Linked DNA regions of Drosophila melanogaster. The gene in region 3 interacts genetically with the main gene of each other region. Each region holds a gene or a part of one and is shown on either strand. Other genes may lie near its edges. The genes, in order: tay, PTP-ER and Mkp3.

Evidence for each region.
Region 1: of Mkp3 (region 3) and tay, changing one enhances a phenotype caused by changing the other (phenotypic enhancement), as found in Drosophila melanogaster (one study listed by BioGRID).
Region 2: of Mkp3 (region 3) and PTP-ER, changing one enhances a phenotype caused by changing the other (phenotypic enhancement), as found in Drosophila melanogaster (one study listed by BioGRID).

The regions. Positions count from the first base shown.
Region 1 is NC_004354.4:15,880,571-15,890,102, forward strand, and holds the start of tay (tay bridge), read right to left. Parts: upstream 6,742-9,532; 5' UTR 6,468-6,741; exon of another isoform or gene 6,443-6,467; intron 5,374-6,442; 5' UTR 5,325-5,373; coding exon 3,873-5,324; intron 3,805-3,872; coding exon 2,863-3,804; intron 2,798-2,862; coding exon 2,624-2,797; intron 2,564-2,623; coding exon 2,522-2,563; intron 2,466-2,521; coding exon 2,439-2,465; intron 2,022-2,438; coding exon 1,605-2,021; intron 1,540-1,604; coding exon 1-1,539. Other genes in the region: MSBP (membrane steroid binding protein), read right to left, coding at 7,466-7,698, 7,774-7,926, 8,732-9,092.
Region 2 is NT_033778.4:21,618,821-21,630,827, reverse strand, and holds PTP-ER (protein tyrosine phosphatase-ERK/Enhancer of Ras1), read left to right. Parts: upstream 1-6,381; 5' UTR 6,382-6,590; coding exon 6,591-9,497; intron 9,498-9,554; coding exon 9,555-10,781; 3' UTR 10,782-11,507; downstream 11,508-12,007. Other genes in the region: mahj (mahjong), read right to left, coding at 13-222, 281-341, 775-1,137, 1,200-1,297, 1,362-1,482, 1,551-3,674, 3,740-4,012, 4,072-4,890 and 2 more; clt (cricklet), read left to right, coding at 11,856-11,912, 11,966-12,007.
Region 3 is NT_037436.4:19,081,868-19,091,521, forward strand, and holds the start of Mkp3 (Mitogen-activated protein kinase phosphatase 3), read right to left. Parts: upstream 4,560-9,654; 5' UTR 3,857-4,559; coding exon 3,454-3,856; intron 1-3,453. UniProt on the Drosophila melanogaster protein: Negatively regulates the activity of members of the MAP kinase family in response to changes in the cellular environment. Has a specificity for the ERK family.

The DNA.
Region 1 (9,532 bases), on a different chromosome or scaffold from region 3:
ATTGCAAGGACTCTCTCCTTTGGGGGAAATAACCTTCTGGATCACAGATGATGATAAAGTTGATGGAGATGACGAGCTCGACGTGACCGCTGTCGTCAAACTTTGCACAGCGAGAACCGAGGGCGTGAAGTTGGAGACAGCAGCAGCAGCTGATGGCGGCGCAGTTGCAGCCGCAGACGATTGTGAGTATAGTGTACTTCCGCAGCGAACCATTGGCTGATTCTGCGATGACATTGGGTGCGTGGTCAGCAAATGGGACACTGACGAAAAGTTACCGCTCTGCGGCAGCATCTGCGTTGACTGGGGGAAGTGCGAGTGCGGTTGGGGAGCAGCCGACGTTGATAGTGAGGTAACCGCCAGTGTAGAGAGTCCTGAATTCGGGGTGCTCGTCCCAGCGGCCGCAGAGGATGAGAATGCACCTGAAGCGTAGGCAGGCACATGATGGGAATGAGATATATGTGGATTGCTCATGGAAAGGGCAGTCGAGTTCGCCGAAGGCACCACCGACACAACGGGCTGCGATGCGCCGCTAGAAATTGCACTGCTATTATTAAGTGGCGTGATGGATCGCAGGGTCGGCGCCATGGATACATTTAATCCAATATTCGATGGCGTTGACTTCAAGGATGCTGGCGACTCTCGACTGTTGCGACTATCCGAGCTCCGGTGTTGTGTGGGCGGTAAGTTGGACAAGTTGGGCGTGGCAACCGGCAATACTGGAGGCAGGTATGACCCGTGCGTAAGGCCGCTATATGGAGTGTAGAGAGGGTAATTCGTGTACGGTGCTCGGTATGGCGGCGCCTGGATGATCATCGGCACGCCAGTGGCCACATGAGAAATGGGAGCGGGCGGTGCGCCAGGAAAAAGCAGTGGAGACCCTGTGCCCACAATGGCATTGCCGCCAGCGCCGAAGACCACCTTTCCCATGCCGGAAGTTGTCGTCGTTCCACCAGAAATACCAACATAGTTTGTGTTTATCGAGATGGATGTTGTGGCGGAGACCGGTGGCACTAATTTATTGGCTGCGTTGGGCGAGACGCGTGACAACGCACTTGTAGTTACGGATGACGTTGCAATGGTAGCAGCAGGCGGCGGATAAACACTAAGGAAGCCATTGACCATGGGATTGGGGGGTGAGGACGTCGTTGGTACCGAATTACTTTTCGCAATTTCTGAAGTGCTCGACAATCCCACCGAAGACAGTTGTCCCTGGCCATTGGCGCTGCCATTGTTGCTGCCATTGTTGGTGTTTTTTATACTGCTGTTGGCTAGAATCACACTCGATGCCGAACTTAGTATTGATAATCCGGCAGCATTCGGTGCAGCTGCGATGTGTGCGCTAAACGGACTGCTTAGAGTAACCGCAGCCGGCGATGGCGCCGCAGATAGTAATGGAACAATTGACCGTTGCACCCCCGACGACAAGCCGTTCGAAACTGAAGCAGTTGCCTTGCTGTTGAAAATAATCTTTTGATCGATGTCAGATGCAACTGTTGATGCAATTTTTTCATTTCCAGCTGATATACCAACGTTGGGGAACTGTTCAAAGATAAATACAACAATTAGATGACACTTCAAGTTGGCTATTGCATATCTTAACTTACTTGCACTGACGAAACCGATGGCGGAGCACACAAGTTGGGATAGAGTGGCTTGTCGGGTGAGGTTTTCTGCAGCACACCCAGCTCTCTGTTCCCAGGATCGCCCACGCTGGCCGCAGGTGGTGGTGGAATCGGAGCACCAGCATGGGCATGGACCGCCTTGCCCGATGCGCTCTCCGATGCGTTCTTAATGTTTAAAGCTTTACTTGGATCGCTGTCCGGAGATACTGTGCCCATCGCTGCCGCAAAAGGTACTCCGGCATATGGGCCATTATCCCTATCTCCACACGCCGCACTCTTTTTCTTGAGGTGTGGAAGTTCGGAAAACTTGCGAGAAGACGATCGATCCGAACACGAAGAAGTATTTGAAATGTTCATGGGCGTTGGGGGGTTGTCAATATCAAATATTTGTTCAGAATTCTGCAAGTAAAAGAGTATATTTCATTTAACGAGCAATTAAAACGAGTCGTTGTAGATTTATGCACAAATAAAAGCCCAAATTCATACTTAAAGCTAACCTTTATATTTATAGCAAAAATCAAATATACCCATTTATAAAAGGGATTCTATGCTTGTTCGCTTCAACTATTTCTTTGGCAGTGAAAAAGAATGAGATAGAAATAATTGGGACGCCTTAAGAAATGGATGTCGTCCTTCCTGGACATAAGAAGAGTACTTATTACTGCGCAATTAGAGGCATTTTCAGACATTTTAATCCCATGATTTAATCCTAATTATAAATAAAATGCAGAACATATGTGCGTCCCCTAGTTCAATTGTTGTGCAACCAAAGTAAATGATTTCAATATTATAGATTAGAATAGAAGCAGGACATACCTTTTTATCATTGCTGACATTATCACACTGTAAGAAAAGAATGTTAGAATGCATATTCGTTGAAAATGCTGCCATATACTTACGATATTATTTCCTTTGCTGTTGCTGCTACAATTGGTTGAAGCCTACATTAACAGAAGATTCGTTTTAACAAAATATTTTGCGTTGAAGAAATGGATTCTTACATCGTTCAAAAGATCACTTTGCTCGTTTTCCTTCTTTATGCTAATGCTGCTGCTGCTGCTGCTGCTACTGGCCCCAAAGGATTGCGCCGAAACATTGGCCAGCTCCTGAATATCCAGGGAGCGGCAGGTCGCTGAATTCGTCACGGTTTCAATGTTCTCCAAACCCATCGACTTCTGGGCAACGAGTTAAGATAACTATTAGTAAATAACATCTTATCGGACAGTTGAGGTGGACTCACCTTTGCGACCTGTGCTGATTGCGAGCCCAGTTTGCAGACACCCAGGTGATTACTGTTTGCGTTTGCATTTGCGGCGGCATTAAGATCACTTGATATTAGATTATTGAGCTGGTGCGTGGGCAGCGGTTTTGTTACGTGCAATTGGTCAATAGTGTTACTCGTGGCGGGGGAATTGTGAGATTTTTTGGTGTCGCTGCTGCTGCCAGTACAACTGGCGTGAATCACACCAACGTCAATGTGGTCATGACTATGCGATACGGCGCCACCAACGCCCAGCGATGGCAGGCTGATATCCAACATCAGTGAATCGTTGTCGTTCTCCAAAAATCGAGTACTAACAGTAGCACTGTTGTTCACTTGCATTTTTGCCGCATTGCAACCACCGTCCGCCGCCTGTTGTTGCTTGCTCGATTGGTTGTTGGTTGTGTGGTTTATTTGGTGGCTACTATTGTTAATTTGATTATCATCACTAATGTTATTATTACTTTTACTGTTTGCGCTATTGTCCGATTGCAATTGGTCTTGCTGCTGCCCATATTCGGATCGCCAATGATCCCTGGGCTCGGCTTCCGTCTCCAGAACATTGCCCACCATGTTCACAGATGGCAGCAGGTAGACCACGTTGGATAAACTGCTGCTATTGCTGTTCGCGTTGGGGCCATTGCTGTTGATCATGCTGTTGTTGTTGTTGCTGCTGTTATTGTTATTATTGTTGCTAATGACATTGCCGCCACGATCACGATGAAGGCTTGGCTGCGGGTTCTCCTTCAGATTGTTATTGTTAACAGTCAAAGTGGACAGGCTGGTGACACGCAACGGTTGCGATTGACCAGTATCTATAACCTTTGGGATTTTCATTTCCTCTATACTGTAGGTACAAGTTAGCTCGTCCAGTGCGGATAGACGCTTCTCCTTCCGCTTCTGTCCCAATTTGATGGCAAACTGTTGTGAAGAAAGATTATTACAGTAGGCTGCGTGCACGTATGAAATGAAATGGCAACGAAACCTACCTCAAGATCCTCGTATGTCTTAAACTCCAGTATAGCGAATCCATCGATGATTTCCTCCTCGAGCACCGGAGATCGTGGCAGCTTTCTTCGAACCGGAGGTGGTGGTCGAGGCGGTGGCTTGTCGCGCGGCAAGAGCAGTGTGGACGAGGACGAGGTCGAGAGCAGATCCTCGTCCAGCGACTCACCCTCGCTATCGCTAGGCGTGGCCATCAATCCCGAGTTGCACTCGGGGGAATGTGGTGGATTTAGGAGTAACGATGCAATACTATCTGTGGGCGGCAGCAGATTGTTGCTGCCATTGCTGCTGCTGGTGAAATTTCCATTTGAATTGTTGCTATCCTCGCCCATGCTGCCAGCGCTGTTGATGTGATAGATCATCCCATTGTTGCCGGGTCCTGCCGCCGATCCGTTGCCCATTGCAACAGCCGAGGATCCGCCACCGACGCTACTATTAGGCGTGACGAGGCCAACTCCACCTCCCTGGCCACCGTTGGCCGCACTCATGGCACTGCCGACCCCCACAGAGGATCCGGCTATGAAGGTGCCACTCAGCGAGTTGGCATTGCATCGACTGTCGCGTTCCGCTTGCAAACGCTGGGCACGTTCCCTCCGGCGTTTCTGCTGGCGCTGTTGCTTGGCATTCAGACTCAGATGAGTACTGCTACTGGAGGTGGTGCTGTGGCCATTGGTATTCCCAGCAGCCACCGCTCCTGATCCCGCTCCGAAGCCGGACTGATTACCGGCTATGCTAGCAGTGCCTCCCGCACTGGAATTCAGCTGTGGCATTATTGTGGATCCCGCCGCCGTCGGAGGAGACGTCGGGGATCGCGAATCTATGCCGGCTGAGGCGGAGACGGCCGCTGCAGCTGCCACAATCGAGAGTTCCGTGTCGGAGTCAAAGTCACAGGCACTGGGAGCCATCGATACCGTCGAAACAGATGGACAGGTGGGCTCCGATATGGAGACAGGTGATGCCGGGGGAATCGCTGCCACGGCCATGGTTTTGCCGCCATCCGATGCCGACGTCGCCGTCGTCGTCGTCGCCGCCGTCGAGGAGGTGTTCGATACAAACGATGGCCGAGCACGAGGCATGGAGCCCAGATCGGCTATATTGGCACTTGCTTGAACTAAGGCGGTCGCCGTCGGCGGAGGAAGATGCAGTACCGCCAGGGCGCCGGTCGAACTCTTTGATATACTCTGGCCCACTACCGTGAGCACTGTGGACTGTGGCTGTGACTGCGATTGCGACTGGGACGACTGTGAGCTGGAGCTGGAGTGTGAATGTGAGTGGGAGTGCGACTCGCTCTTCTCATCCTGGACTGGGACAGCGGGAACGGAGGATCCGATGTCCTGCGACGATGATATATGCTTGATTTGGGATCCTATTCCATTAATACTACTGCTGCCCGACGCAGACGTCTTTGATTTAGCGCTGGCATTTGATGTGTCCATTTCTTTTGCTACGTAAAGCTTCCAGTGGATTACACTTCAGTTCCTTTTCCTTGGGAATACAAATTATCGATGAGCATTATTATGTATATTGCTATCTGGACCAAACCTTTTCCAATGCATTCGACTATTATTTTTATCTATATTTCTTTACTTTTTTTTTTTTTTTCTTTGGAAGGAGGGGTTTTCTATGCCAGCGATAAGGCGAGAAAGCTTTACAAATATTGGATTTAAGGTGCTACTACGGCCGATTCAATCGCGTGTATTTTGAAAAAATCGATGCTGCGCCGACTGTTTTTACGTGATATTGTTATTTGGTGGCCACTGTGGGGTTTTTCACATTCCGACCGGTTAACATATTTGATTAGAGTCACTAATTTGGTTAAAAATAATAATTGTACAAGTTGTTTTCATTTCGTTTGCTCTTTTTCTTGTAGTCAACTTCCCTATTGCGCTTTTTTCTGTACACACACACATAATATTTAATTCTGCACACTTCTTTTTTACAACAAACACTTATTGTTTTTTCGGGTCAGTGGGATTGCACACAAATCAGAACAGATGTAAAATATAATAAAAAAAATAAATAACATAAAGCCGATATGAGAATTCACCGAAAATAGTCCATATTTATTTTGTCTAGCACTTTATCATTCGTCATATACTCTTCTTCTTCTTCGTATTCCTCCTCTGCTGCTTCTTCGCCTTCTTCTTCTTGAAATATATGTATGCACATATATGTACGTACATGCATGCGTACATATAAATTCGTACGAGTATACGTATGTATATTTATATACACCAGTTCGGTTTTGCTTTTGCTGTTGCTTTTTTTCTTGCTTTCCTTCTTTCTTTCGGCCTTTTTTCTCTATGCCTCCGTGTTCGTGCCGTCTATAAGTCTGCCGCTAGCGAGTGCACAAACCATTCAACCAGAGTTTCACACCGTTGCCTTTGCAAATAAAATTACGATAAAATAATTTTTTTTTTAATTAAAGAGAACATTTTGAAGCAGCTTCTTTTTTATTTTTACTCTTTCGCAGAACTTTAGTTGGCTTTTCTCTTAAAGATTTGCAGAAGCAGCGCAGAAACAGAAACAATAGTGTCATCTCGCTCACACTTACACTTTTCTAATTGCGACATACGTACATACAAAATACGACAACGACAAATACAAATACGACGACGACGACGACGAATTTTTGTGAACTGTATGCGATTGTTCGTACATTTTTACATTTTCCACACACACCGAACGCACAACGAACGGCCAAAACGATCGATTGTGCATCAACGCGTTATAAGCATCGCTACCAAACTAACTGTCATCACGGCTATTATGTATATTTTACATAAAATCCAATATTATTTTCCGAAAATTTTGTTAACCACAAAGAACCAACATAGTCTCTCAGAGACGGACCAAATTTTCGATAGCTGCAGAAAATCATTTTCAAGGGGATAACATTATGATAACTATCGAAGTAGCGGCCAGTCTCCACTGGTGGCCGCGATTTCGGGCGTTTCACACCGATAACAAGATGCGAAAAGTTGGTTTCAAAAAATACTGGGAACAAATGGAATAAATCAAAATCCATTATTAGGAAAAAAACCTGTTTTTTGCTTTTCTTGCAGTTCAGGATTCCCCCACCTCCCAAATAAAGATATTGAACGTTTAAGTATTTAATTTGTATTTCAAATATAGTTACATTTAAATTTATATTGCCACGAAAATGACTCCCATACCCTCCACACATTGGCCTCCTCCTTAAATAATTTTATGATTTCCGTTTGTTACATTTGTATGAATATACGACTATAATATATGGAACAAGATCACATCACAACGTGAATTATAGTAACAACTATAGCTTTTGTCAAGGCTGCACTCTAAGAATAACATTCAAAAACGATTTTATCTGTTTTAAATTCTTTTGAAATGTTCACGATAAATTTAATGCCTTGATTTGTACGGTTCAAATTGGGGCGTGTTCTTTAAATGTTTTCCAAATAGGTCTTGTTCTCGATTTTAAAGGAGCAGAGGCAGCATCAAAAAGAGTCGGAAATGCTATTTAGTTTTGTTGTGTTTCTAACCGAAAGTAAACTATTACAGCCACATCCAAAAGCAAAACAAAAAACCCGATTCGCTAACAGTCGGTAGAAGGAGTGGCCTGATCTTGTGCGTTATTTTTGTTTGTTACATTGCTTTGCAAAATGTGACTTTCCTTTTCTTGTTTGGTGTCATCAGTCTCAGTTTTCGACTTGGGTAGGTTCTTTCGCTCTTGTTCATCATTGTTAACATTCTCCTCGTCCTCATCATCGTCATAGTTGGTTGGTTCCTCGCCCTTGCGCAATAGCTTACCAACCAGCTCATATTTTTCTAAATAACATAATGAGAACGTTAGTTTACCTATGAATCTGAGCATATACATATATATATATATGATTTAATTACCCTTAAACTGCATTTCCCATTCCCGCACAGAGTCCATTTCCACGGCACTTAAATCGCTCAGGTCATCGTATTCATCCTTGTCAATTGAAACCACGCTGAAAGTGGCCAAGTTTCGCGAGGCATCTCTACCCGCAAAAGTTGCGTAGGGTCCACCTGAAAAGCAGAGAATCATCATATGTTACTATCTAAATATTTATATAGTTTTAGTTTGTTGGAGTCAGCAGTCTGGTCATCAGGAACACGGCACCGTTGATAGAAGATAGTATACAATCAAGTGCGCAACTTAAGGCTTTTCTGCGCATCTACGTCACAAGTGTCGTGCATCTTGCTCGCACTCGTTACTTTTAGTTAAAATACTTAAGGAAAAAGTGCAAGCCGTTGTTGAAATGCCACTGGTTTCTGTTTGGTGTCTTTGAACATTTCAATTAAGGCATTTACATTAGGAAGTATTTCGATTTGATAAGGCGGACGACAACTATTTCATATGAAAATGACGATCATGGTGAACTATTTTTGCATTTCATGCTTAACAATAAAAACACCTAGTCGACATTTGGTAGGCATTATTTGATTATTGAATTTGGTTAGATAGTTGCGTTATCTCAAAACGAAAACTTTCTTGTTGATAAGCTGTTAATCTTAGCGCAAAAAAAAATGACGAAATATAGCAGAGATATGAGCATATGTCGTGCAATATCTCCTCCCACAGAAATTAAATGCGATTAAGAGAGTTACAGATATCAGGAAAACCAATATTGTGACGTAGCATTGCAATTATAGATAGACATCGTATAGAGGGATATAAATAATGGGATCTTGGCAATGAAACACATACCAAAATACCAAAATCCCTTCCTTATAATCGGCAATAGATCAATCGAAAATAGTTCTAAAGGTATATGCTATACTGTAAGCTTAGGAACAACTTAAATTCAAATATTTATAGCCTAGCACTCACCTGGGCCGTAAAAACGCCTTCCTTTGCTGACATCGTAAACACTTCCGTTGACGGCGACCAAAACACGGCCATCCGGCTGAGTTCCATCGTACTGGCGAAGCTCCTTCACGGTAAAATCGCGTCGGATTTTGGGTAACTCAGGTTCGGATGGCTTTGCAACGCCCACGGATGGCACTTCGGTGCGATCCCGAACGATTTTATAGACCAGGAAGCAGATGATGGCCAGGAGGGCCAGGTTCATTGGACTGTACAGGATTTCGCGGATTATGTTGCCCAGAAATGAGGAATCATCGTTGTTTAGATTGTTGCCGATTTCCTTGTCGTAGGCCGAACTAGGATCTGCACCCACTTTGGAATCCATCTTGTTCGCTTAATTTACTTGCTGCACTGGATGTCGCTATGCACTGAATGTTACAATATTGTACATCAACCTGTGAATTGTGTATACTGCCATTTAATAAATATGCGTTTCGTGTTCGGATTTTATGTAAAAAAGCGGTTCGGTATTCCGAAAAAAAGTGGTAAATATATGTAAGCGCAATGGTAATGGACCAAAATATATGTACATATGTAATTGCAATGTAAATTCCAAAGTTTATTAGCTCACCTTTTAGACGTGCCGTCTCGATTCGATTATTTTCATATTCCTCTGATCAATTTTTGCTGCGCAACAATGATTTCATAAATTAATACCTTTATTGCTCAGCAGCACCGACCTTTTGCGACTTACTGTATTTACAATTTTACGAACTACCTATGAAAATTGTGACAATGATTTTAGTAGGTTAAAGGTCTTTCATT
Region 2 (12,007 bases), on a different chromosome or scaffold from region 3:
ATCTTGAGTTACCGTCTGAGCTGCTTCTATCGAAGTATTCCAGCACATCAAAGTCGCCATCGTCGTCGCCATTGTCGGAGCCGTCGTCGTCGTCACTATCGTCATCGGAGTCCAGCGGCTCTCCATCATCGTCGTCCTCATCCAGATCTTCGTCATCGTTGTCCGAGCCATGAAGGTTACGAAGCAGGGGGAAACCCAGTAAATTTTGACCTATAGCAAAAGCTAGGGAGTAAGGAGATTTAGCAACGGATTAAATGATTATAATCAAAATCAAACTTACTGTTCTCGGAGCCCGTATCCGAACCGTCCTCATCAGATTCGGGCACCTCCTCATCATCTTCCTGCAAGCATAGACATAATATTTAGTTCAATATCATCCATGCGCCGCATGAGGGTTCTCAGATCTATGGCAGCGCCGATTCCGACTCCGCCACCACCATTAAGATTCAGATTCCCATTCCCGCCACTGCCATTGCCGCTGCCATTGCCACCCAGTCTACGTGCCCGCCGTCGCACCCCAACAATTGAGCTGTTGGGTGCATGTTGGCGAGAAAGATTTGGACTTGCTTGCGTGGCGGGACTTAGCCGGCGTAGCTGATCCTCCTCAAAATCGTTGGGACCGGCGGGTGCAGCGTTTTCCGCCGGCTGTGGGCGCTCCTCGGGTGGCTCCTCGAAAACCCGAAGCAGCGAAGCATCGCCACCATCGTTAGCGTTTGCCGACCCCGGCGCCACTGCGTCCGATACCTCGCTGGCCAGCTCCTTAACCGCACGCACCTCTTCCGAGCGCTCGCTCTTTTTAACGCCCACAGCGTAGATCTTCACGTAGGTCTCCTGTTTGGACTCGTAGCCACTGTAGTCTTCGACCACGGCGATCAGACTCCCGTTGGCGCTGACGCTCAGATCGTTTATGTTGCGTTTAACGTCAATGGTCGCAATGCTCGAGTAGTCGTAGGCGTCCAGAACGTTGAAACTGGTGTCGTAGGTGGTCGTCTCCATGTCATGGTCCCTATCAGCCCCCAAGCTAGCACCGTAGATTACATGCATCGGGGAGAAGGTGCAGTTACGCTGGTCTAGCACCGGCACTGTCTGCAGCAAATGAAAGGTGCGCAAGTCCCACACCTCGGTATTGGCAATGATCTACAAATTGTGTTGGAAATATTAACATGGTATAAATAAATCAACACAAATTTCGACTGTACCTCCAGACAGTTGGGATGGAAGACGCCTGATATGCACTGATTAAACTTGTCGAACTTGTGGATCTCCTTTCCGGAACGCACATCCCATAGAACGCCATCTAGGAATTCGATTCAGTTACATTTCAGGTAACTTTATACTTATAAATGCATTTATGTAATTACCCGACAAAATCAGCTCATCGGTTCGGCAAAGAGTTGCTCTGTTTTTGGTGTAGAGATTAGGTATGGTTGGCGTAAACGAGGCCACCTTGGAACCAGTGTTTATGTCAAAGAGCGTGGCGCACTGTGAAAAAAAGGTGAATTTATTAGTTGAAACTGCTATAGATCGTAAAATAACTCAAATTAGTATACCTCATTCTGGGTGCCCAACAAACGATCCTGCACCGTTTGACTGAACTCACAGTACGTGACATCGGGAAGTCGCAACTTTAGCTTGAACTCATCGTCCGCAATAGACCATAGAATGCTGGTGGGTGTGCGCCAGAAGCTAGATGTGATGACCAAGTCTCCGGCTCTATTAGCCTTAATAGCATCAACGCTAAAGTTGTGACAGTTGGAGAAGAACTGCTCCACGCCATCGTTCATGTTGAACACTCGTCCGTCGCCCTGCTGCGTGCCCACAATGATGTATTTACCCGCCAAATCGCAACAGGTGAACTCTAGGTCCTCGTAGTCCGCCGATCGAATGCTACGCCATGGTGAAAAGTGCGTGTGCACATAGCGACGGTCAAAGCGACTGGTATTAAATCCGGCTTGGGTTCGAGCATGCCGACTAGTCAGGTTGTAGTTCGAGCTTAGCAATCGGCTGGGCTTCGGATCTGGACACTTGTGCGGCTCGTACAAATCAAACTGCGGGCAGGTTGTCACCGGATTATTGCACAGCGAGTGCTGGTTGGTGAGGTATTCCGTTACGATGGTATTTAGGGTGATCCTCTTGGGATGCAGTTGACCATCTTCGGCAAGACCAACTGACATGCCACCAGGCTCCATTGCCTGCTTCTGGATAGAGCGGCTAACTGAACTTCTATCCGTCCTCCTTATTTTTATGGGCGTCTGCGTTGTGTTAAGGGAGCTAAAATTTGGTATGCTGACTCCATCTCCCGCATTGCTACCACCGGCTCCTGCCGGCGAGGAGTCCTCACCAAAACTTCTGTTTAAGTCTCCATTGCCCATTATCGCTGCGTTCACATCTTGCATGCGGCTTCGCAGACGATTTCTAGACAGCGAGCTACTACCACTGGGAAGACTTTTGTAGTCGAAAGGTGATTGATGAAAACTGCGCGTAGTGGGAGTCTGTAGCGGAAGACCCACCTCCCGTTGCAGCATTTGGGCTGTCTGGGAGAGACCGTTGCTTTCCAGGTGCTCGAAGATAAGCTGATACAGCTGCTGCTTGTTATACTGGATGCGTGTCTGGGCGATTACATTGGCCTTGTGCATGTTGGACAGCGATGGATCCAAAGGATTATTTAGCGGTTTCGTCTTACCCGACACTCGTTCTAGCAACTCCAATGCGTACTTTTGGAAGATTACATGTTCCGCGCGCTTCTCCTGGAGTATGGGATCCCGCATCAGCGTCTGGAGTTGTCCGCTGGCAAAGAGTGGAAGCTTGCTGACGATCTGCCTGACCCGATCGGAGCGAGCAAGTCCCGCCAAGGCCCTACAGGCCATTCCACGTATACAGTCCGCATCCGTAATGGGTCCTTTGGTCTGCATCAGCGATAGCAAGACCACAATGCCATTGTTGGAGCACACGGACTCCCACACACGTTCAATCAGCTCTTCGGCGTACTTATGGTTGGCCTTGTTCTTCCTGGAGGACGTTCCAAACTTAATCAGGCTGGTGCCGCTGTCCTTGCGAATGATCGGAGAGCAAACACAATGGCACAGCACCGCTAACGCCGATTTGATAACCTCTGCATCCGAGCTAATCTCTCCTGCAGCAGCGCCCAGAACCGAGCAAAATCCGGAGGTAGTTGTCTTGTCTAGCATCAGCAGGCGCTCGCAGAGCACAACATAAACTCTTGGGATAATACAGCATACGCTGAGCACGTCCAGAGCCGAGCGCACCGTCTCGGAGCGTCCACTGTTCACCCAATCGTAACTGAAGGCGATGATCCTGAGTAGCATGGTGATTCCACCAAGCTTCATTAGCTGATCCACGGGTTGCCAGTGCGCCCGGATAGAAGTGTGCTCCTGGAGCGTGCGAATCTGGTCGTTCAATTGGTCAAAGGTCAGTTTGGCAGCAACCGTGGGATTCTGATTGAAATAGTGGGCTGATGACGGTGCCGGGGATGCCGCATTTGTTTGGCACAGAAAGCTGTTGTACTTGTAGAAGAAGTGCGCCTCCATATAGCGCTTGAGGGCTACGCAGACGTGGCGCACCATTTGTCGGGAAGCACATTCTACGTCTTCGTTGAAATCAGAGTCATTATCGCTGTCGTTGTGGCTCGGATCAAGAATTTTTAGTACGGAAATCTATTAGGAAGAAGTTAAGGTAATTGACTTTAATCGAACTTCTTTCGTTTAAACCATTTACTTACGACATTGTACAGCTTTCTTAAACCATCCTGAGCATCAAACTCATCCAATATGACCTTAAATTGGAAGCTCAGACTGAAGAACATGGTGGCATGGCACTTTGAGGAGTCGTGGCAACGACCCAGAATCCAAAGCGCGTAGCGAACTAGTTCTGAAATAAGTGGTCTTTGCATACTGCATATGCGTTCCATGGCGTCTTCACAGTATGCTAAGTAGTAGATGGCGATGGACACACCAGTAGTCGCCAAACTGGGGCGGGGCACTTTTAACAAAAGCTGTAAAAAATAGTAAAGTTAAAAATAATTACATTCCCTCTACAAGACCATTTACTGACCTCCAGTCCACCGTGTGAAATGAACTCTAAAGCAAACTTCTTGTGGCAAAGAAGGGAAGCCAGATACTTCAAAACTTCGTAGGCCAAGCAGGTGTCCCGGCGATCCAAGTTCTCCAGGTAGCCAAAAATTAGCTGCATCACATTGTTTTCGAAAGCCATGGCTAGGAACTCTTGATATTCGCCCAGGCTGGTCAGGAAGCGCATGATTAACATTTGGCTGGTATCTGCTGTGGCCGGGTGCAAAGGAATGTACATCCGTTTGTAATAGCGAGATACGGAAAAGGCATCTCTGCTGTTCTCGAACAGAATGGACATATTAGAGGCGTCTCCATGCTGCGAGGAACTTGCTCCCAGCCCACTGCCATTGTGCTGCGGCGATTGAGGAGCCGATGCATTACTGGCGCAGGCCACCCAGCTAAGCATGCCCGCCGTGCTGCTGTCAGCCGACAGATTGTGCATCGACGTATTGACATCTGAAGTGGCGCTCTTGCTGATCGCCAGGAGCATGTGCAGACGCTTGATCATCTTTGGCACCAATCGAATATTAAGATCGCGAAAGTTTATGGCTATGTCGCTCACTTCCATCGCTTCGGCTAAAAGCCCGGTGGCATAGCTCTGAAGCGGTTCAATGCTGTCCTCTGCCCAAGAGTAGATGCGATTGATGGTTCCATCGCCTTCGGCGGTCTGAAATACTGCAGAGGTCTCCATTCCTGGCATTATCTCCAGAATGAGGCGGCAGGCCAAGATGTTTAGTTCTAGAGAACTGCGACTGACATTCTGGCGACTGAAATAGTTCTCTCGCAGGTAATCGTTGAGGAGCTAGTTAAATAAAATATTTCACTTTAGTTAGCTTATGTTTTGGAAATTCTAAAACACCTGATTTTAAGAAAACATTTACATTGCTTTTTAGAAAAATAAAAATCACATGACTTTATTCTTACTTTGCCCATGAAGGTATCCTTCCGAAAGAGCAGCTTGAGTAGCAATCCGTACTGGCAGCTGGGATCGGCTCTATATGGATGTCGTGAGTCCAAGGGATCCGGATCCTTGCGCCGATACACGTCCTTCTCACGCTCAAAGATCTCCGCAAGGCTGCGATAGTAAAGGTATTAAGTTGGACCCATGCGTTAATGATTTTGAAGCACGCTTACCTCCTGAGAGTGGGCACTGGATCGTATCCATTTTGGGTCTGCTGTTGCTCCCACTTGTCGATAATCTGGGTGAGCTCCTTCTTGGTGGCTTGGCGACGGTCGGCGGCAGCGGTTTCCTCGGCGTTTCCACCGCTATCGCTTTCGTTTTCCGCATTTTCCACGCTCATGGCGTCGTCAGCATCAGCGTCTTCGTCGGCCTCTGGTTCCCCCCCATCCTGTTGTTCAGCGGCGTCCTCTTCCTGGTTATCGCCAGCCTGCTCCGGCATATCCTCGGCTTCTGGCTGCTCCTCCTCGTCGCTCTGGTAGGCCACAGCCACAGCTTCAGCCATCAGTGCCGCTTCAGTCGCGGCCTCTGCCTCGGCCGCAGCCTCTGCTGCGGCCGCATTCTCGCTTCCGCTGCCCTCAGACATCGAAATGAATTACTGGGTTTTGGATGCACTAGGTCTTGATCCAGTGGCTTTCTTTGCTAGATTTTCGACACAGCGAAACTTACTTCTAATGGCGAAATAAAGCAAATAAATAAGGTATTAAATACCACGCGCTTTTCGCAAAATTAGTGTGGCCTTTTGCTATTGTCGTTGAAATAATGAAGTCAGCTGTCGCACAAATTTGTTTGTTTTCGTCTTTCGGCAAATTAAACCAATCTAAAAGGTCTTTAAATAAGTCTAAAGTACACAAAAGGATTTAAATGCCTAACTCAATTAATTATTTCCAAGCAAATGCACAGATAAAAGCGTGCCAAAGAGCAACGTGCAACTGTGAGGTAAACGGAACGGTGGTAATAGGAACACTACGTTGTTGCTTCTAAATTGTTCACAACTTTGTAGTGATTTCATAAACAAAAATACAGGTAGGTTGAAATACTATTTAGAACTAAGTCTGTGATCTTTTACAACAATTTTTCTGGATGCATGCAAAATATAATTGTCTGATACCATCTCAGTTGATCGATTGAATTAACTATCGCCCGTGTACAACATCTGCATTACAAATTCTGCAACTCCTTGATGTAAACACTAGATCTGTTAACCTATTCTTTCTTTTTATTTTAAAAGACACTTGAAAAATGCGGTTAAATTAGGTACAACGTTGCCAGGTCTTGGTGCAGTTAGTCTGCGGCCTGGCAGCACGGTAAGCAATGAAGGCATTGCCGGATCGATTACATACGCGGTCTGGTAGCCCTCCATGCTTTAGCTCTGAAAATGTTGTGAAAAGAAAACGCTCTTTTCCCCATGATTTGCGTCCAATTCGGAAGTGCTAACTGTGCGGGCGAGATAGTTATAATGCCGATCGAGTGAGGACAAGACACTAAACGGGCGGAGCGACTGCGCTGCGATCGCCCCGCTTCAGCAATTGTGTGTGTGTATCATGGACAAGCTACGAAACAACAACAAGGAGAATGCACCCATTGAGTACCCCTACCCACAGACCCCCCGTCCCACCCACGCCGCCCCCTCCGACACGACCCCACTTGAAGCTGGCGAGGATGCGGAGAGCAACAAGAGTACACCCTACTTTACGCCCCTCGAGTACCTGCAGACGTCCTTCGAGTTTCCGTCGCCCACGGTGGAGGTTGGGGGCGGGGTTCCGGGCTTTCCCGAGCACGAGGATCAGGAGGAGGAGGTCTTCACCCCCCGGCAGTTCACCATTACCAGCCCCCATCCAGCAGCCCACGTCCACCATCCATCCAGCTCACAGTCTCCCACTTTAGGCCGCAAGTTCAAGAGGTTATCACAGTATGATCGCCGATCCTGCTCGCCGCATATTAATACCTCCAGCGGCGAGGAGCGGGTCAGTGGCCGTGGCATCGACAAGGAGAACACTATGCCCAAGGGCGGGTCAGTCGACCAAGACCTAGAGAACAGCTTGTACTTGTCGAAGAGCGAGCACAACTCACCCACCATCCTGTTTAAGGATGAGTCCTCCACGACGCCGGGACTGGAGGCCAGTCGCCTAAGCTACTCCCCGAAACTACTATCCTCCATCAACAACCTAAACGTGTCCGGTTCACCCCTGAACATTATTAACTCGGCCGGCTACAAGAACGGCAACTTCTTTCGCTTCCCCGAGATCGATCATGTCGTGCAGGATGCGCCCATGGATACAGTCTGTTTAGAGGAAGCTACACGTCGGGATCGTAGTCCTGCGTTGGCCGAGCCGCCGGAGCAGCAGCAACAAAAATCGGAAGGGCGAAAGAACCGCAAGAATAAAAATAATCTCACCATTCGCATCACGGACGTGCCCATAAAAAACTCGAGCCAGCCATCACCATTGCCCAAGCCCAAGACACCGACTATCAAGAGCACCAAGGAGAAGGCCCGCTCGCTGGACTCGGCTGCCAACGAATCGGAACTGTCAATCGTGGTGCACAACATAACCGAATCTCATGGCAGTTGTGATGACATGGAGACAGGACAGAGCCAGCCATCGACAAGTGTTATCCACCATCACCTTCATCTTCAACAGCCCGCATCCGCTATCCACTCAACATCGCTCTCGCGACTGGATAGTCACCTAAGCTTGGCCAATCAAAGACGAACGCCGCGCAGAAAGTCACCAGGAATCAACACCACTGACTGGCTTATGTACCACCGCAAGCAGAACCCATATCAGGTGCAACCGACACACTGCAGCTCCACGACACAAAGCTCCTTGGACTCGGACGCCAGTTTAACCCCCAGTTTGGGGGACTTTGAACTGAAGTCCGCCTGTAGCGTGGACGGTGGCTCGAAGTTTGGAATAGGCGCAAGCCTAGCGCCGAGAAGCGCCCACAAGCACAATCAGTTACTGCACTCGTCCAGCACAAATTTAAAAACGCTTCCCGAGTGCCTTACCCTGGTGGAGTTCTCCTCCTCTGGCGGTGGTCCTAAGGAATCGCCTTTCAAGCAGAAGTCAATGGATTTGCCGATGCCGACACTCCAGGCAAAGACCACAGTGTCTACATCATCGATGAATCTCCTTCAGCGTCGGGGATCCAATCACAGTTTAACGCTCAACCTGCACAGCTCTTGTGGCAACCTAATGAACAGTGGACTAAGTCATTCCAACTATAGCCTGGGCTCAATACTCAACTCCAAGTCCAGCTGCAATTTGGATGCGGGAACCGCCAGCCAAATTCGAGCGGATCAATTGCCACAGTCACATCTGCTGGGAAGCAGCCAGGGTAGTCGGCAGGGGTTGTTCAGGAGGCGGGGATCAAATCACAGTATCACCCTGAAGACGGGGCACACTACAACATCGTGTGGAGATCTAAACTCCATGCAGCAGCTCCAACAGCAACAGGCAATGTTAAGTGCGGAAAAGTACAACCGACTCAATATGCGAACCAATTCCACCGGCTCGGGATCGGGCTCTGGATCCAATGTACCTACTCCGAAACGAGGACTTTTAGAACGTCGTGGCTCCAATCAAAGCCTCACTCTCAACATGGGCAGCATACTGGGAGGAGCAGCAGGTACCGAGATCCAGATGACGGACATCGTGCAACCGAAAGTCACGGTTTGCAGTTGTGCTGCCGCCAACCAAGCCCCGCATCAGCGCAAATTCTTTAGCACTGAGAACTTGAACAGCAGTAAAGCCAATAGCCAAAAGTTCTTCGGGCAGGTATGTTTCGGATCCGCCTCGGACTTGCAACCCAATCCTCAGCAGGATTCGGTGAGGGAAGATCAGGCCATTGGCGCGACGTGCACTTGCGCTGGCACCGTACGCAACATTATGACCCGTCCTCTGTCGCCCCAAACGACTAGCGAGGAGTTCAAGATCTACTTGGCCAGCATACAGATGCTGCAGAGCGCCTCCAATCCACTTAATCAGTTTGATCTTATCCGGCTGAACTACGTGTTCGATCACAGCTACCAGACGAATAGGAACATCATAGAGCAGCCGCCGGTGCTGGGCTCCAACGCACGGGATGTGGAGACACCCACGGATATGGTGCCCCCGAGCTCGGAGGACAGTGAACTGCTCGCGTCCTACCAGACAGTGGTTAGTAGGATGGCGCAACCAATACCGGAACTGAAAGAAAACGAACAAAAGAGAATCTTTCGGGATCTGCACAAGGAGTTCTGGGACCTGCCGCTCAATCACCAAGAGAAGCCAATGGTCTTCGGCTCGCAGACAAAAAATCGCTACAAGACTATCTTGCCAAACGAGAACTCTCGCGTGCTACTCGAATCCGAGTCCAGCGAGCTGACTAGCTTGCTGGGGGAAATAAAACGGACCAGCTCCGTGACCGCTAGCGAGGACTTGCCCTACATTAATGCCAATTACATCAAGGTAATGGAACTAAGCGCAAATCCAATGAAAGTAATGTATATATTTCCTTCATTTCAGGGACCCGACTACGTGTCGAAGTGCTATGTGGCCACGCAGGGTCCACTGCCCAATACAATCTTCGAGTTCTGGCTTATGATATACCAGAACACGCAGCGCTACATAAGACGGTGCGTGGATGGAGGCAGCAGCAGCAGTCCTCACGTTGACAGGGAGCAAATCCTGCAGCAGTACTTCCAGAAGATTGTCATGCTCACAAACTTCACGGAAGCGAACCGGCAGAAGTGCGCCGTCTACTTCCCCATCGAATTGAATGAGATCTTCGCGGTGGCCGCCAAGTGTGAAGTGTTTCAGCTGAGTGCGGCTGCCCGGGATTACTTCGATCGGTATTTAACGCCCACCTTTGTGCCGGACACTGTGGTGGCTTCCTCGGATGCGATCGACTATGAGATAAGTGGCCGGCACATAGGCGTGGAGTCGGTGAAGGTGACGCTGGAAGGGGATCTGCTGGAGGCTTTGCCCGCCCAGGGAAGCTTCTTCCTCATTAAAAACGTCGGCATTGTGCGAAGAAATGGTTACTCGGTGAGAAAGCTGGTGCTGCTCTATTGCATTCGTGTGCCACAGAGTGCTAGCTACCACCTGCAGAAAATCTACTGCTACCACTATTGGTATCCCGACTGGCCGGATCATCACTCGCCTCGGGACATCAACACGCTGCTGGACACCTGCTTGCATGTACTCAACCTTGGAAAGTGTGAGTCGGAGTTTGACATCTACGATGACACCAGGAGCGAGAGGAATGCCCACCTGGCTGCTCAGCGGCTGGAGATCTACCAGCAGGACATCTTCAATGCAGTCCAGCCCCTTCCCGTCATCCACTGCTCGGCTGGAATTGGGCGCACCGGTTGCTTCACGGCCATCCTGAATGCAGTGCGCCAGTTGCGGCAGTCGTTGGCCTACTCGCTGACAGGAATGCTCACCAAATCGCTGACCAGCAGCTCGACAGAGGAGTACCATAACCCAACGGACAGCGACAGCAGTTTTACTTGCAACACCATCCGGCACATCAGCCACATTCTGGATCATCGCGATGCGGAGGCGGTTAAGACGCCGCCATCCTTTGACCGTCTGCCCAAGATGCCGGACATTTTCGTGGACGTCCTGGGCATCGTTTGCAATCTTCGCCTGCAGCGGGGCGGGATGGTCCAGAACTCGGAGCAGTATGAGCTCATCCATCGGGCCATTTGCCTCTACCTGAAACGCACACTGGCGTTGAGGCGATTTTAAAAGCGAGCGAAAACCATGATCAACAACTTTTTGACGACAAAACGATGGAGATGAAGAACAAAACACCAATTTACTATTTGTAATCACAATTTTTGTGGCCCTTATTTTAATGAAAGCAACCGCGACGGACAAGCAACAAGTAAAACAAGAAACCATGGCTAAAAGAGTCTCGAAAATGGAATATGATGGCATTCTCCGAAGGAGGATTGACGGAATGCTTTCAATGTTTTCTAAATATTACTATTACCACATATTCTACATATATATAAATGTTTATTAAGTGTTGGATGTATGTGTGTTAAATGTGTACATAAGTGTAAATGTTTCCGACTTTTGGTGTGAACTATGCTTAAACTAAAGTTAATTAACAATTATTATACCCTACCTTACCTTACCAAAACCATACCTTACCATAAAGATGCGCATCTATATATGACTCGCGACGTTCGTCGACGCCCCTCGGTGAGTTGTGCATCCTGCTTGGAGGCGGAGAAAGCTCAAACCTTTCTCAAGTTGGATCCTTCCCTGGGTCCTTCTGACTAAACACCAATTTCTCCAATCCCAAGCGGACAGCTCGACCGCCGGACGTGGACCAAAATACGGACACGAGTTCATTTAAAACACAAGATAAAAATTCGATAAGTAAAATGGAAACCCATAAATGAACATGTATTTAAGTTTATGCAATGGAACTAGTCAAATAAAAATTAGAAACATTTTAAATGTAACCTTAATGTGTAAAGTTGGCAGTTTTATTTTGTTGTTCTTAACGTTTTTAAGTAAAGGGAAATTGCGATGAGTTACTTTTTTGACATTAACAAGAAATTCTCCAGTACTCAAAATTACATCTTTTAATTAGAGCTTTAAGTTAAAGTAAATTAAATGTTTATATTTTCTATTTACAACTTGAACTAATTGACGTCGAAAATCACTCATGCAGCACCAGCTAAGGGTTAAGCGCCTCAAACAGCTGATTTCGACGAACAAAGTTCAGTGTTTCAGATTCAGGTTTTGAGATTGCCGAATAATTGCCGATTAGATTGTTAAGGAAACCCGTAACGGGCTGATTTCACAATGCTTCTTCGTCCGTGTGGAAGACTAATCTTTACCAGGTTTTGCAGCAGCATGAAGGTAATGAGTGCGCTTCCAAATCGCAACAAAATTGTTCAATTACTTGTTTGTAGGTGAAAGTGCCAGTGAAACAAGGCGTTTTGGTGGGCCGGCAA
Region 3 (9,654 bases):
CCACTATTCGCGTGACCCTTTCTGTGCGCACATGTCGCATTCTATCCTATATAGTTGGTGCCCCAGTTGGCCCCATCTTAATTGTTTTAATTCCGAGAAATGCATACAAAGTGGCATTTAATTAAAATGAATTTTACATCGCCAGTTGAAGCCGAATCCAGCGATGGCCGCGATGCATTATGCATTTTTCATGCTGCCCAGGGACTTCATAATGTCCTGAAGCTGGAACTAAAAAAAAAAAGGAAGACGTCGAAAGAGACGGCATCATTGGCTGACAAAGAGCGCATAATTGCCGGGACTTGATTGAATTTCAAGGTTAATTAGTGGCAAGTCGGGGGAAAAACTTTATTGTACCCGAGATTGGTAAGAACTTTGCTGGGCCAGCTTAAGCTGATTACCGTCGGTGTTTGGCGGTTGTTAGCCGGAGATTTTCTGTTGGTCACAACAAGAAAAGGGATTACACTGTGTGGCTTTTATCGCCTAATGGATAAAACAACTAAACAACTAAAACAGCGAAATTTGCTTAAAGAGCAAGCGCAAGGAATTAACTTTATTAAGCAACCAAGCAAATAAATAAAACCTATAAATAACCTATTAAAACAATGTGAGGAGATGTTAGCCGTATGCAAAGTAATAATTAATATATAAACTCCGTGTAACAATTTCAATAGAAGAAAGCAAATAGTAGAAAGAATGTTCTGCCCCAAGTTTGTTGCAAATAAATATATCATTATTTACATCCCCATTCCGTCTTCCGCTTTGGACTTCCTTCCTTTTTTAGCCAACCTGACCCAGTTCCGCTTGCTTCCCAGCCCAAACTTCCTGCCCCATTTCTAATCGCAACCAATAGCTATAGATATTCCCCGTTCCGATACACACTACGTAACTAATGCCACACTAATGCCACAACTTCCTCTCTACACAGCTGCTTTTTGTGCATTTGCATGGCAAATAACCCCAAACCCACTCATGTGATTAGATAAGTCGGCCCAGCGACTTCCACTAAAATGTCAAAATCATTAACGGATTGCGGAATTGATTTTGAATTTAGCCAACTAAATATGGGCGATGATATAGTCATTATTTCCAGATCATTTCACGAAATCGTTTAAACAATTATGAAAATAGTAGTCGCTCTTGCCCAAATTGAGAATTTGAGTTTGTTTATCGAGCATGTTTCGGGAAACGCAATAAAAATCGGTTGCTCGGCTATGTTTCCATTCAAAATTCTTGCCTGAGGTCGCAGAATTCATTTACCATTTCGGGATCATTAAGGAAAACGACTGAACAAAGCGGACACTTCAGCAGGCCGGAAAAACAATGAAATCCCTGAAAAGGTGACACTGGATTTTCACGCTGTTATCTTTCCACCTTCGCCTACTATTCATTCCAAAACTTCGTTTTGTTCATCTGGCGAATGTCAAGAGGTTCCAACTTTCTTGGGTGTTTCCCTGGTATTGCCGGTCGTAAAATGTTTCGGCCCGATTCTCCTAATTACCTGTGCACAGGTAGTTTTCACAGGATGCTTCGTTGCAGCGATCTCTTTCCCACCATAGAGTGCCATCTCTTTCCACGGCTTGACGTCATAGTTGAGATGGCACCTTATGTTATGCTAATTCCACGGCCTTTCAAGTTCTATTTATCTTTCGAAATGAAATCGGTACAAAAAGAAAAGTATCTTAGAGATGGGTGGTGGGGTGAGAGAGTTGGGAGGCTGAAAAGCCGGTCCATTTGTTGACGCTCTATTGTCAATTTGCGATATTAGCAGGCAGACACAAAAAAAAAAAAGAAACAGAAAACATTTGAATGGCAGAGGAGAACGTGCGTAAAGCTTGTTCGGCAAAAAAGTGTGTATATGTACATACATATGTACATACATCCAAACAATCACGGGGTTCTGTGGGACTTGTAAGCGAGCGGAAATTGAAGTGATAAAAATAAAAACGAAGCCATAGTCAGTCGTCAGATAATTATGTATATATTTCGACTATGTGCACAGGCATATAGGGCAGCACATACATAAATAAGCATATGTATAGCATATATAGTATATATGACAATTTATGTGGCTTTGAGTCATGGGAGTCGAGCCTCGGAGTCGCTGAAAAGCAATTGTGACATTTTTCTGAATGACACAAATCTATACGGGAGCACAAAGAAAATGTGTAGCCAACAATAGTGGAAAGACCTCAAAAGCATCGACAGCAGTGATGTTTATTTATGACTTCCTTAATCTCCGAACGTGTTTGTAAAATACCAAACGATTTTGAAAACACATTTATATTTAAATCGCTCCTTAATTGATATGGGCCAATCAAGGAGGGGCATAGTGTTTCAGAATAAAGTGCATAATTGGAAGGGCATGCGGGGTGGTATAACTACATATACATATATATCCGCCGATATGGTTGGATTGATATTTTGCGCAAGTTTTAATATAGCTTACATGCAATTGTGATAAGGAAACAAAAGACACAGCATATATAAACTAACAAATTCCTGCCATTATAATTTTCTATCAAAGTCAAACAAAATCGTGTCAACCAAAAACAAGTTCAGAAAGGTGAAATCTATGCAGTGTATGTCTATAATCAGAATGCGAGAGGAGGAGGACAGGATCAGTCAGACTAAATATAATTCTAATCTGGCGCTAGCTTTATCAGCTGTGCGGATTACATTATATTTTGCTAGTTTTTTTTTTTGCATTTGTCATTTTGTCTCCGCCCCCAGAATGCTTGCCTTGTTTCGCCAAAACGAAAAAAAAAAAAAACAATAACAAATCCATGCAAATGTTTATTTATGGCCAGGCAGTGCTTGCTTGTATTATTAATATTCTTTCGGCTGTTTTGTTTTGTTTTGGTTTCTTCCTTGGGGGTTTCGGGCTAAAAATGCCGCAAACAACATTGGGGAAGTATAAATAAGTTATGATATTCTTAGGCCTAGGATAGGAATGTGCGGCATTGATTTATGGGCGGTGTTGGGAAGTATCAGGCATTTAAAGAATCCGATAGCACAGCTATGATCAACAAATGGAGAGTTCCGTTCTCGATACAGGTGCGTAGTAAACTAACAAAAAATTCCATTCGTAATATTGATTCATTGCATTCCAAGAATATCACAATGTAAATCTTAATATTACTACTTTAGTTATTACATTCTAATCAAACGAGATTAAGGGGGGAAATTTTGGATGAAATTTTTCGGTTTTCTACTATGTTTATAATGATTTACTTAGTCATTTCTATTACTGAAGCTTTAATATTTCAAATATGTACATATTCTATGAAATCAACATGGATAGTATTCATATTTATAAGATTAATTACGTGAGTTTAAATGTGGGAATTGAGAGGTATATATAAACCTTAGTTGGTTTTAGTAACTCCCGCACTTGTATTATGATATTGTAGTTCTATTTTTTGGGGCACCCAAAGTATTGAACTTATGACTCACCTTGTAAAGCAACTACGCGGCAGCCGTCCTGCTTGAGGCGACGGTGCAGGATGCTGATGATGGAGTCCATGGCGACGGCCAGGGATCCGGCTCCGGCGATCTCCTGATTCTGGCCGGGCACGCCTTCGCCGTTGTAGAGGATGAACCAGCATAGCTTGTAGCCCGACTGGATGCGTTGCTTCAGCTCGGGCGACTTGATCGTGGAGGCCAGATCGATTTTGCCAACCGCCAGACGACGGAGGACGATGCTGGGTATGCATAGGTTGACGGCTCCGCGGATGTGCGACTCACTGTACTCGTGCGAGCCGCGGCAGTCCAACAGGATCAGGTCCTTGGAGTCCAGGGATCGCAACTGGGACTGCAGCCACTCCTTGCTGCAGGTCTCGTGCTCCGTTTCTGGCATTTTGAAGAGCTCCCAAAAAATCACTCAAAGACTGGAAGAATTCGAAGCACTGCCACTATTTTTCCCGTTTAGCTCTGTTCTCTGCTTCACTCGTTTTTTATGTTATTCTTTTTTCTTTTGGTTACAACAAAGTTTACATCATCTTTCTTCTTCTGCTTCGCGCTGGTTCTCTTCTTCTTTCTTGGCCGTGCAATGGTATTTGTTGCTGTTACACACACACACACTCCCGCGCAGATGAAAATCTTGGAAATCAAAAAGGAATTTTTGTTTTTATCTCGTTTGGGGAAATCTGTAACTTGCACTGTTTTGTTTTTTTTGTTTCTTGGCTTTCCGATTTCCTCGCTTGCCGATTTATGTTTCTTTGCACACCGAAATTCGTTGCTTTTTGCTTTTTGTTGTATGTACACACGCACACAAGAGCGCGCCAAATCACAACCGTGTGTATGTTTCGCGTGTGTGTGAGTGGTTTTGTATTTTTTAGGTGTGCTTCGCTAAAACAACAACAACAGTTCGGAATCGAATGAAAAAACGTGCGGTGAACCTGTCATCGAGTAACTAAAACATCCAAAAACCGTTGAATATTTCCCAAACAAATAGGTAATTACTTCTATCAAATATCCATATTTTGAGTTGATGTTTTTTTCGAATGGAAAGCGAGCACACACAAGCAGCGCGGGTAAAAGATAATCGGGCAATAACAAAATAAGCGCGTCGTGGGTTGCTTAAATAGCCTCGTTGCTCTCCAAAAATACGAACACAGTTGCACTTGCTCTCCGACTCTCCAATTCTCTCCGTCGGAATTCGAAGAGCGAAACCCAATAACAATATTGTATTTGTTAGGCGCAGTATTAAGAAATAACTTATAAAATATTGAATCTTTTTGCCTTCTCGTTTAAAAAAATACATTTGGGAATTACTATTTCGAAACAAACAGTCCGTTACACGCAATGAAAGGAAGAACGCACCCGCGCACACAGGTACGCGAACCGGAGAGAAGAGCAACTCTCCAAAAGGTGAGCAAGAGCCAGTGCACAGGCACAGACCCACTTGGAAATTTGCTCGGTTAAAAAAGGAGAAAAAATGGGGAAAAAAGTAAATACAAAGAGAGTTCCTGAATAAAATTTAGATAAAGTAAAGACTTTGTTTTAATTCTATAAATTACATAAAATTTTTTAAATATATTAAATAATCATATTTTCCCGTATGTTAAATAATTATTTCATAACTGGGTTCGTATTTCAAATTTCCCACCTGCCTTTCTCTCCCGCACTCTTTTGGCACTTTGACTATTTCTCCACGCTGCATACGCTCCCAAAGTTTTGTGTAAAGTTCATTGATATTTTTGTGCTGTGGTATGCGTGTGGCAAGTAAAATGCGTGTGTTCGTGTTGATTCATTGAATTCGCCATCCAAACTAGCTCTCTCTCACTCTCCCACTACTCCCACCACCACCCACCTTACCCTTCGCGATGGAACCTACTTTATTGTTACTCTCTTTTTGCGAGAGCGCGGTTAACATTTCACTTCACTAGAGTGCAAAAGTTAATGGACCACTAATTTAGACAGATAAGAAATTACGGAGCCCAGAAGAATCGGAATCATCAATGGAGTCGCTGTCTACTCTCTAACGAAAGCTCCTGCGCAAATGCTCCTCCAAGAGCCAGTTATATTGGAGACTCGATGAAATGTTTAATTTTATAACCATGACCCTGATATTTACACCCAAAAAGAAGAGACTCACACAAGGATATACGTGTGTACCCATACAGAAATCGCATGGAAGGACAATTTCAAGGATATGCGGCGCGTGCAAAAATTTCTCCACAAACAACAAACTTCCTGCTGCGCCTGCGTTGCACTAGCTTTACATAAAACGCACACCCATACACACCATATACCGTTAGGTAAGGCCCATCACAACGTGCTACTATATACAGATGTACGAACGAACGACTTTCGAGCACAATTTTCATGAATGAAAGTCCCACGCAGCAGCGAAAACCGTTGGAGCAATAAAGAAAGCCAAGCAGACAGAGAGGGAGACAGTCGGCGAGGGAAAGAAACGGCCATACGAAATCCATGCTCAGCCCACGCATTTCTCGCTGCTCACTTTCGTCTTGGCACGCGGCTCCTGAGATTCCAAGGGCGTTATTCCCCAGGACTTTACTCTGCTTTCGGCCCTGGCGCGTGGGAGGCCAGCCGGAATGTTGCAAGGGAGTGCACAGGGAAAAATTGAGCGGCTCTTTAATAAATTACATTTTCTTTCAGCAGTCTCAATACAAAGAAAACATGCGTACTTCAAAAGGATTTCTTTAATAATAAAAACACACACAAAAAATATATATATATATTTATATATAATACTAAGAAATATTTGTTATAATATGAAATCATTTAAGCATTTATTTATTTACGCTTCAGTAAACACAAAAGTGTAAACACACATATTACCATTAATTTTTGTATTCATCGAAAGTTGTACATAATTACTGTCAGTGTATCACTCAAGTATGAAGAAATTAGAAGTAAGCACCTGGATAGCTGTTTCAAAAGGCTGCTCAATTGCGCCTTCCAAGTGTCTTTGGTGGGCTGACCTTGGCGATACATATATGTATTTCTGACAGTGTAGAAGCCAAGGTCGGTCGTCCTCCGGGCTCCATTCTTCGATGACACAAGTTCAAAGTCTGCTCGCAGCCAAAATGGAATACCCAACCCACTTGTATAGCTCAATGAATCACTTTGGGGCATTATCTGTGTTTTAGCAGGAAACTGATGTCGAAAGTGAAGAATTCAATTAAATTTCTGCACCTCACGATTGTCAATCTAAATTGCGCAAGCTACGGCCTTTACCTTGATTATCAGACCCCACGTATAATCAATATGAAGATGATGACGCTTTCCCGAGTGTTTTTATATGGTGCGTGTATAGATCAGTCATAGCCATATCGGCTTGAATGAGTGAAAAGTTCTGAGAAATGGGGGAAATATGGATCATCGTGATTCGCAATGTGCGATACTACTTATATGAGCTTTGCAGGGTTTTATTCATTATCTGGTGTTATTTTTCCACTCATTGTTATCAAGAAAGACCATTAACTGCGTATACTTTCTAACAGATATTTCCCAGCAAGTTATTAGTTATCGCTGTGCTGAAACCTTTTCATAGTTACAAAACTCATATGAGTATAGGATAATTATTGCTACGAGATGAATATTGCCTTCTAATAATTTGGACGTTTATTAACTAGCTGAAGCAATATAATTATTTCTTAAATGCAGTTAGTTAGCTCAACGGCATTCTCCCACACTAGTTTTGCATTCTGCTTTACTGACCTAAAACAACTGGAATGGGATTAAGAATTGGCGCGTCCGCTTATCTGCCATTCATGTTTCCGTTTCGCCCGTTCTGAAATGTGTGTACTCACACTCGCATTCACACTCGCAATTGGGTTCTCGAATCCAGCCCACATCCATATATCCATGTCCAGCCCCCAGAGTTCCGTTCCGCGAGATCTCTGTGAATCACTCGCCCATATGAACAGCGGATGTCGGTGGGCGCCACGGGTCTCTAGAATCAACAATGGTCGATCAACAATCGTCGATCAATGTGCGTTTGACGTTTGACCAGAGCGAAGAGGCTGAAGTATCTCACAGATTCTCAATATCTCAATATATACATATGTTCCCAATCTCCATGATTCTGGGCACTCCGATGACGTCGTTCCAGACAAGTGTTGGTTCAAATTGGTAGCCAAAAACGGTGATAAAAAATTAAATTATCATTTAATAATAGCTTTGATTAAAACAGACATTAATAAATGAACACGAATTTAACAAGTTATGACAAAATATAAATATAAGTTAACATTTCTGCAACAATGCAATTAAAGTTTTTCGTTTTACAATACTATTTGATAATTATAATTATATATCAAATAGCATGCATAGATTGACAAGAAATCCAAGATTCATCCCATATACGAACTGATATCCCTCCTCATCTGAAGATAAGTAATTCGTCATTGTAGAATGTGAATCCTCTTGGGAAGTATCTGTTTCCAGTGCTAAAAAATGTCTAAAAAATCAGATCTGCACCGGACGCTAAAAAAGAAGAAAGGATGACGAGTCGGGACGGCAGATGTGAAAGAATCTGTTGGCTTTGAGCGCCCACGCGAGCAAAAGTTACGATTGATACGAAACAAACGGCGACCTGACCAAACGACTTACCTATTCACCGAATTAGAATGCGAATGACGTTGGTTGTACTCACTTTTGGGATTGGTTTTGTCGGGCCCACTGACTCATTTCACTTTGGCCACTTCACTCAAGGTGGCTTAAACAGCAGCCGGTGCCACGTGTTCCTTCCAAAGGGGAAAGTTATAAAATAAAATAAAATTCACAGGGCTACAGGGAAATGGGGCACCTACGCCAGACTCAAAATCCTGTTGACGTCATTCGGGGGCTGCTCAATGAATTTTCTGCACTTTCTTTACCGGCTTACTGATTGCAAAAGTTGTAAATAACATTGTTCATCACTTAGTCAAGATCATGTGTTTGAAGACATCACGTGGGAAAGAACTACGATTTAGTATGAATAAGTACTAAGTAAGTAAAAATATTTTAAATATTAATTACTTTACGGTTAAGATTGTTAACACTAAAAGAATGAAAATATTGCATAAAAGCTTTCTAAGATTGTATTAAAGTTTAAAGCTTATGTGCTTCAATTGTGATTATAAGCGAAAGATTAAAGATTATAAATTCTTTAACGTTGTTTAAAAGTTGTTGTGGAGAAGAAAGATTTTTTTTTAATATTGAAATATCTCAATGTTCATCTGATTACTGTATTTTTGAGTGGCAATCTAAAAGTAATATCTAGAATCTCAATCAATCTGTATCTTTTTTTGATGTTTACTTTATAGGATTTCATTTTAAAGTAGAGCAATCAAGAGTAGAAATTCCTGCCACCCCCCTCCTCCTTTTTTTGCCATCGTCATCGTGGTTGTCATCGCCCATCCGTGCCATCCTTCCCCAATTGATTCGTCGGAGGGGCCAACGAAGGTTAATGCGAGCCAGTGTTTGACCTCCAGGGTCAAGCTGAAGGCAAATTAATTGCGAGAATTGGGTGCGACAGCTAGAGAAAGCGCAGAGCTGCTGTAATTGATACAAGAACAAAAACGAGAAGCCAAATTGCAGCCAATTGATCGAGTTAAGGGGCCGATGCTCTCGAAGTTGGCACTTCCGTTGCGTTATAAGGGCTGGGGAAAGCCCCCCAATCAAAAACAATTTCTCTCAGTGTGCCAGCGAGCTCGATAATTAGGCGGTCAACATAAGTAACATGGAGATATAGATCTTTCATGGAATCTTCGTCCTTGATTACTGCTCTAAAACCTATAATTGAGCATAATATTTTGGTCAGCAAATCAACTTATACTGGTAACAATTTGATAAGAAAATGTGTGAATTTTTAAGTACTATTTATTACTAGTTTCTAGTGATGCAGTTGTAGTTGTACGGCAATGAAATGAAAAACTTCAACGAGAGCAGACTTCAATCCTAAACGGATTAATTAAGATATCGTGGTAGTAAAGATTTTACATGGCAACGTGGTACTCGGCGTAATGGACGCCACCGAGGGTGTTTCGGCCCACGCGAAAACTTGGCCAAAAATAAAATGTAAACGGTAATAAAAGAAGAGTGTCGCCTATGTATGTACAGGGACACCCACAAAAGTCTATATACAGTTATATTTTTTGATAACGCTCGACGGCGGAAACATTGCACGCCAACGCCCGAGCA